Danio rerio: one gene and its partner. The protein of the gene in region 2 purifies or fractionates together with the protein of the main gene of each other region. This does not show direct contact. Links are inferred from orthologs where the notes say so. Each region holds a gene or a part of one and is shown on either strand. Other genes may lie near its edges. The genes, in order: ankrd54 and btk.

Region 1 (3,932 bases), on a different chromosome or scaffold from region 2:
TCCTGCATGCTTTCCTCAAAAACCTTCTTTTTTTTTGACCAATGAAAAGAAAGAAATATCTTGAAAGACAATGGCGAGTTGATTATCAAGAAATATTCATCCTAAATGTGAACAACCCCTTGAAAAAATATATGAAAAATCTTAGATCCACTGCTTGTCATTGGTCATAAAGGTCAATTTTTGGAAATTGAAATTTATACAACATCTGAAAGCTGAATAAATAAACTTTCTAGTTGGAGGACAATTTACTGTGATAGGAGGATATTGGGCAGAAATACAACTATTAATAAAAAAAATTGATCTGAGGGTAAAAAAAACTGAGAAAATAATATTTTAAAGTTGCCCAAAAGAAGTGCTTAGTAATGCATAACACTTATCAAAATTAAGTTTGATACATTTTACAGACTGAAGTTTACACAGTTTTTTTGTACAAGATGAATTTACCTTAATATTTTAATGACTTTGATACTATATTATTATTATATATAGACAATTTTGTCCCATAAAATGCATTTTTAGTCATTGTCACAAATATAACCTTAAGACTGGTTTCGAACTTACCTCCTCGCAGTAAGGTTGTGATCACAGGCACGTGGTTGGTGCAGGCAGCTGTAAAATCATAATGCAATAATGACACACAAAGATGCAAATAAATATGTCTAAAAATATTTGCTGAATATACAATTCTTACCCAGATGCAATGGTGTGTTCCCAAGGCTGTCTCTCTGGTTTGGGTCAGCACCATAACTCAACAGCAACTGGACTGATTAATTACAAGTGGAGATTGAGAGAGTAAAAATGGAAAAGCATGTATACTTTATAATTTATCAAATCAATCTTTCATCATTTAAAACCCTAACAATCTTTTTGGTTTTAGTCAATAAAACACTACGGTTTGATACTATGCAATGCACTGATATGTATGCAATAAAAATGTAAAGTATGTAATGCAAACAGTTTAGTTCGCACTTACCGATAGTCTCATTGCCATTGCAGGAAGAGAAGTGTAAGGCTGTCCTGCCTTTGTCATCAGCAGCACAAGGATCAGTATCATCTTCCAGCAATCGTCTCACTAGAAGGGGTTACATTTTTCAAAAGTGAACACATTATTATTTAACTGTAGATCAAATCTTACCATATAGTATAACTTTCAGAGTCATGCTGCTGGTTATTCTCACCTGTATCTATATCATTTGAATTGGCAGCTTCTCTGAGCCTCTTCACAGCTAAAACAGGACATGTGGTTGGTTAAAAAATATGGGTCATGGATGATAATAATAGCAACATAGTGACTAGTTTGACATACTGATGCGAAATCATACAACTGAGGATTTAACTGCTACATTTTCTCAATCTTATGCTACTCCTTTCACTAAACATGGTTGGTTGAATGCTAGATTTTAATTAACTATGAAAACTATTCTTTAATTAGTGTATTATTGTTCATCACTAAAGGACGAATTTACAGTTTTGCATTTCAGCACTTAATGTTTAAGGTTATATATGATGTTTATATAGTATAAACATATAGTACAAAGAAATAAAGTTTATTTTAGTTCGTACAAGATAAAGACTAACATTTCATTTTGGTTTATTTACTTGAGCAGTGTATAAAAGCCTAATATTAGTGTAGGAAAAGCATTGCAAATCCACATTTTTGTTCTTATTTCTTTTTTGACTTGACAATTTCTAAAATATGTATGCATTTGTATAATTTTGGATCTGGGTTTGTATGGAGAACTTATACAAAACCTGAAATTATCTATAGCTATATTAGAGCCAAACAAAACATTTGTAACAAAGCCTGTTGCCTATATGGCTGATAAATTAACGCCTATTCACCACTGCAGACTGAAAAAAATAATTCAAATTTTCACCTGAAAGTAAGTTAAAGTTTAAGAAAATAAATGTATTTAATTTGATATATAATAATATTCAGGTTGTTTTTATGTCTTTTAGTTAGAAATAAATTTGTGGGTTTCTAAAATTTTCATTTATAAGCATCCATGAATTATAATTACATGCAGTCTTTGATGTACATGATTACAGAATTATTTGTAGTGTGTATCTTCTGCTCGTGTACACACACCATGCAGGTCTTTTCCAATGGGCCCCATGTTCCTCCGGGCTCTTGCCAGCCGCCTCACCCTGCTCGATGTGATTTTTCCTGGTGTGCTCCGTCCCGCCTGTAGCAGCTCACCGGGCTTCCATAAAAGGTGCAGGTACCGGAGCTCGGTGTCCGCGGCCGGTCGCGTCCGGTTGAGCCTCAGCGCGCTCAGGGTGTCCAGCCGGGAGATACTGAAGCCCACCGTGCCTGCACCGGCAGCTTCCATCGGCGACTCGCCCTCCCGCTTCTCGGTGTCTCCCGCAGAGGGTCCGCCGGCCAGCGTGTATTCGCCCTCCGAGCTGGAGCGGTCACCGTCTGAACCAGCAGCGGCTAAAAGCGGACTCGAGCCGTCCATATCAATAAAAGGCGTTCACTGCACTGATGTCAGCATGTAAATGTCAGTTCCAGCAGAATGTAAATACTGAATCTGTTACACAAACCTAAGCCCGCATGGTCACACTGGCGCTACTCTTCAGCACTGGGTTTATAGCGAAGATTTTAAATAAATGAACAAGACTCTTTTTCCGTGCATCGCGATTTAATGTTGGGATGTTTAATTTGAACCGTTCCGTGTTGAAGTGAACTGTGAACATTGAGCCAAAATGGCGCTGTTTCACTGTTTTGCGCGGATGTTCAGTAAGACACGTCCGCATTGCTTAGTCTGAAATTATTGCTACCTAAAGGGCCAATCAACATGGATGTTGTTGAAGCGCTCGTCCAATCAGAGCACATGTGGTGGAAGCGTAATAAATACGTACATAAGATACATAAAACGTGATGTGACGGAAAGATGTTGGGGTATGTTCAGTATGAACAACCTAAAAGTAAGCAGTTGTATGTAGTGAACTTAGTTTTGCTGCTTGCTAAATTTCACATTTATAAGTCAACATTTTCAAACTCCAGACCTATGTCTATGTTATTTTCTGTACAAATTTAAACAACACTTTTTATTGATCCAATGGTCTCATAACCAAAAGACTCTAAATCTGTCTGCGGTTCTTTTAATTAGTTTAATTTTTTTGCTTTTTCAACATTTGAATATACTCTTTCTTTTTCTCTGTTTTTAGTTGTATTTTTCTTCATTGTTAAAGAAAAAATTTTAAAATAGTTTTTTTTTTATTTGCTATAAACAACAGTATTGTTTTTTCTATGATAGTTTTTCAATAATATTATGAAAAACCGCATCTTACATTAAAAACTCGATCCAATATCCCAGTCTTTTCAATAGCAAGAAAAGGGCAATACTGTAAAAAAATACAATGTTTCTGAATCAGAGCAATGTTTACTATTATCTGCATTAGTAAATGGGTTTTATTCACGGTATATGCAGGAATCCTAAAGGTCATTTTAAAACCTTTTTAAGACTTTTTAAAGACCTTCTCAGAATATTTTAAGACCTCATCGCTACTTCAAGCTCTCTTCAGTATAAAACTTTTAACTTAATAAACAGTTTTAGTTAAATAAATCAATGGAGCACAACCAAGCAATAGAACTCAGATAAGCTCGGAAGAAACAGAGCTTAAAAGAAACTCGTCTTTCTCCATCCAGTGGTACGCAAACTTTCATTTGACCATTTAGCCGCCTGTTTCGCTACATGTGGAGAGCGTCACATCACCTTCCCGCATTTGTCGCAAATTACATGACATCACCCCATGACATCGGAGCTTGGCCAGATGCACCCTGGCCTGAACCAATCACATGGGTCAAGCATGCCACTGTTAATATTAAAATTAATATATTTATGCTTTTTTGGAGTAAAACACTTTGGACAATGCTTGAACTAAATTCAAGACCTCATAAAAATTTGATTAAGACTTTGTAATAC
Region 2 (3,832 bases):
TCCAGAAGAAATTACTCTCCTGGTTGTCCCACATTTAAATAATCATTACAATGTAAAAGTTACAGACACATTAATAAACCAATCATGTTATTGTGCCACCACGGCTCCATACTTACTTCTGTTTTTAGTAAATTTTCTGCCTGACTGCGGTTGATGTTCTTGCAGTACCAACTGTGAGATTGAGAGAAAATTCATGATTAAAAAAGTTTGAAAGGTTCAAAATGTTGCTGAATGGACAGTTGAAGTCATAATTATTAGCCCTCCTATCAATTTTTGTTTTCTTTAGGCTAAATTGGCCGTAGTGTATGAGTGTGAATGAGTGTGTATGGATGTTTCCCAGCAATGGGTTGAAGCTAGAAGGGCATCCGCTGCTTAAAACAGTCTATGCTTAAAACATATGCTGGATAATTTGGCGGTTCATTCTGCTGTGGTGACCCCAGATTAATAAAGGGACTAAGTCGAAAAGAAAATGAATGAATGAATATTTCCCAAACGATGTTCAACCGAGCAAGGAAATTTTCACAGTAATTCCTATAATATTTTTTCTTCTGGAGAAAGTCTTATTTGTTTTATTTCGGCTGGAAAAAAAAAGCAAATTTTAATTTGGAAAAAAACAATTTGAGGTCAATATTATTAGCTCTTTTAAGCATTATTGTTATTTTTTGATTGTCTACAGCAGTGGTTGCCACAATGGGGGGTGGGGGTGGTTGGGTTACCATGTTTTTACCATAACCTACAAAAGAAAAAAATGTCGGTAATCGTTACATTTTAAAAAACAACATGAAAATAAAAAGCCATCAATTTTGAGTATTTCAATTTTTCTATGCGACTCCAGGGGTTATAACGTTACATTAAAGACACAGCAGTAGCATCTGATGCAGCGGATTAATTTTATGGTACCATGTTAAACTTTCTGACTCCTTTACGGCACTCATGAACAATAAAAACAAATACAGACCACAGCTGAACATGGAGGATGATCTCCAAATGGTGTTCTCCAAAACTAAACGAAAAATAGACTTGGGCCTATTGTGTGCACCGTTGTGTGCAAGGTTTATATACTTATAACCACCTCAGAGAATATAGGGGGTCATGAGTCACTGGCATCGCTATTTTTGGAGTCACGGGCTGAAAAGTTTGGGAACCCCTGTACTAGAGAACAAACCACTGTTATAGAATGACTTGCTCAATTATCCTAACTTGTCTATTTAATCTAACTAACCAAGCCTTTAAACTGTACTTTAAGCTGAATACTACCTCGAAATATATCTAGTAAAATATTACGTTCTATCATCATGGCAAAGACAAAAGTTCAGTTATTAGAAATGAGTTATTAAAATTGTTATGAGTAGAAATGTGTTGAAAAAATCTGACTGACTTCGACTGTGTACTTACTCATATTTCTCCAATCCATTTAAAGCCTGAACGATGTAGTTACTCGGTATGTAGCCTTCCTTTCTGTAAAGGAGATCAATAACACTTTTCATATCAACAAAAACCCAGTCCTGATTGCACAGCAAGTTCCACCAGACTACCTTACATCAATAGCCTGTAAAAGTTTCCCCAGATATGCAAATAATTCGACAAGAGTCCACATTTTTATCAAATACAGCCTTTCATTAGCATTATTACACAATTATTGATGTCTACAACTCATAGATTTTGCCAAACTAGTGATATTTTTTAAAATTATGCAGTCTCTTACCCGTATTTATCTTTAGCTTTAAACCAATTGGGATCAGAGATTTCCAAAAGTGTGTACTCCTCATCCTTTCTCAGCTCTAAGTCATTGGTAGTCATTGGTGCGTATTCGTATTCAGCTATAACGGTCATGCCTATGCTGAAGGCAGGAGGCATGGGCGGCTCGGGGGGCAAAGGCCGGGCTGGCTTTTCCTAAATCAGGAAAGTAACACAGATCAGTTCCCAAAGGTAAATATGATGGTGTGTATTGTCTCTGGCTAGATGGATTAGTAACTGACCTCCTCAGGTGTTGGTGGAAGAGGCTTCCTGGAATCGCGGTTCTTAGATCCTCTTTTGAAAACCCCTGGTGGAATGATAATACATGTACTAATGCTGTTTAATTCATTAAACTATTCACTATTACATTATACTCATGCAATGCTGCCTTATTGCATTAAATGGAAATTGATATTGAACATTTAATTAGGGAATACATGTCTAAATGGATCTTATTGCCAATGATGAAATAATTTCAACACATTTATAACAATTTAAATGGGTTTTTATCCACTTACTGCCACCTCTTGCTCTGGTCGGTGATATCACCAACCAATTAGGCTAATAAAAGAAACTTTCTTGATGGAAAGTTGACTAAGGGAGAGAAGTTATTTCTGAGGCAAGTGCATGTTAAGATGCAATAACGTTAATTGTGATGCTGTGCTCAAAAATTACTTTAGTAAGTTATAGCAAATACTATAATGTTTTTGAACCACACAATAGTGAAGTACTCAAATTAGGTTTCTTGTAGTAAATGCTAAAGTATACTATGGTAATTACTTTTAGCTCATGAAAGTTACTAATGATACTACATTATGTTGTGTTATTCATTAATGAGGAGTTGTAAATATATATATATATACAATATAATGCTTCCCACTATAAAATATCTCTGGCCCATCTCAACACAATCAGCTTTTGCTTGGGCCACATGCCGCAGTAAATTATGGTAAATGACTGGACCAAGTCTGGCAGACAAGAGCCAAACATGGACCATATCTGGGCCAAGTTAATAACCAATAACTGAGCCTGAACTGGGCCAGATATGTTGGTGTTTACGACTGGAATGAAATTAATCATTGATCGCATTAATAAATCATTACGCTTTAGGCATGCTTTTTCTCAAAGCGACCTTATTGGTAGAATTAGTTTTTTAAAATTTGAAAATAATAAAAAAGATTTTTTAAATGTGGGTCAAGATAGGCCAAACTTACATCAATTATTAACATCTGGGCCAAATACTACATTTTACATCGGGCCCAAATATTGTGTGCAGCCTTAAAGAAGCTGCCACCTCAGACAAACCAGGGCCATGTTTGGCCCACATGCTGTATACCAGTGCCGGATGAATCCCTGCTTTGCCAGATAAATGGCAAATCTGGGCCAGAATTTTTTGCTACCTGGGTTATTCCTAAATATTTCCCTTTACAATAAATTACTATAGTATTTTACACGTGATTTTTATTTTTGCTGTTCATTCATTCATTTTCTTTTGGGCTTAGTCCCTTTATTAATCTGGGGTCATCACAGACGCTAACATATCCAGGATATGTTTTTACACAGTGGATGGCCTTCCAACTGCAACCCATCTCTGGGAAACAACCATACACACTCATACACTACAAACAATTTAGCCTACCCAATTCACCTGTACCACATGTTTTTAAACTGTTGGACTGGTTTTGTGGTGTAAACTGGAGTACCTGAAGAAAACCCACGCGAACACGGAGAGAACATGCAAACTCCACACAGAAATGCCAACTGAACCAGCCGAGGCTTGAACCAGCGACCTTCTTGCTGTGAGGCGACAGCACTACCTACTGCGCCACCATGTCACCAAAATGCTTTTGCTGTTAAAAATTTTAAACTAAAATTTGTTTCTGAACACAGTACATCATATTATTTGTAGTAGCTAAATAACTGAACTGAACAATTCTGCCTCAAACAGTGTAGGAGCCATTTGTTTATTTTATTTAAGGGTTTGTGTTGTTAATCTTGATTTCTTTTATGTTGGAAATTTGCACCCCCTGCAGGCCAGAGGAAGCTTAAAAGGCCTGGGTGTGGCCTACTGGAGAAGGGCCTGCTTGGAGCACAT

Evidence for each region.
Region 1: the proteins of btk (region 2) and ankrd54 purify together in Homo sapiens (affinity purification with mass spectrometry; 4 studies listed by BioGRID and IntAct, counting the BioPlex papers as one, with this or other methods). This does not show direct contact. The link is inferred for Danio rerio from reciprocal best matches to the Homo sapiens genes BTK and ANKRD54.

What each region holds. Positions count from the first base shown.
Region 1 is NC_133178.1:24,770,849-24,774,780, reverse strand, and holds the start of ankrd54 (ankyrin repeat domain-containing protein 54), read right to left. Parts: upstream 2,620-3,932; 5' UTR 2,463-2,619; coding exon 2,090-2,462; intron 1,227-2,089; coding exon 1,179-1,226; intron 1,073-1,178; coding exon 974-1,072; intron 764-973; coding exon 692-763; intron 610-691; coding exon 562-609; intron 1-561. UniProt on the Homo sapiens protein: Plays an important role in regulating intracellular signaling events associated with erythroid terminal differentiation.
Region 2 is NC_133189.1:43,503,114-43,506,945, forward strand, and holds part of btk (tyrosine-protein kinase BTK), read right to left. Parts: intron 2,045-3,832; coding exon 1,980-2,044; intron 1,894-1,979; coding exon 1,706-1,893; intron 1,459-1,705; coding exon 1,396-1,458; intron 172-1,395; coding exon 117-171; intron 1-116. UniProt on the Homo sapiens protein: Non-receptor tyrosine kinase indispensable for B lymphocyte development, differentiation and signaling. Binding of antigen to the B-cell antigen receptor (BCR) triggers signaling that ultimately leads to B-cell activation.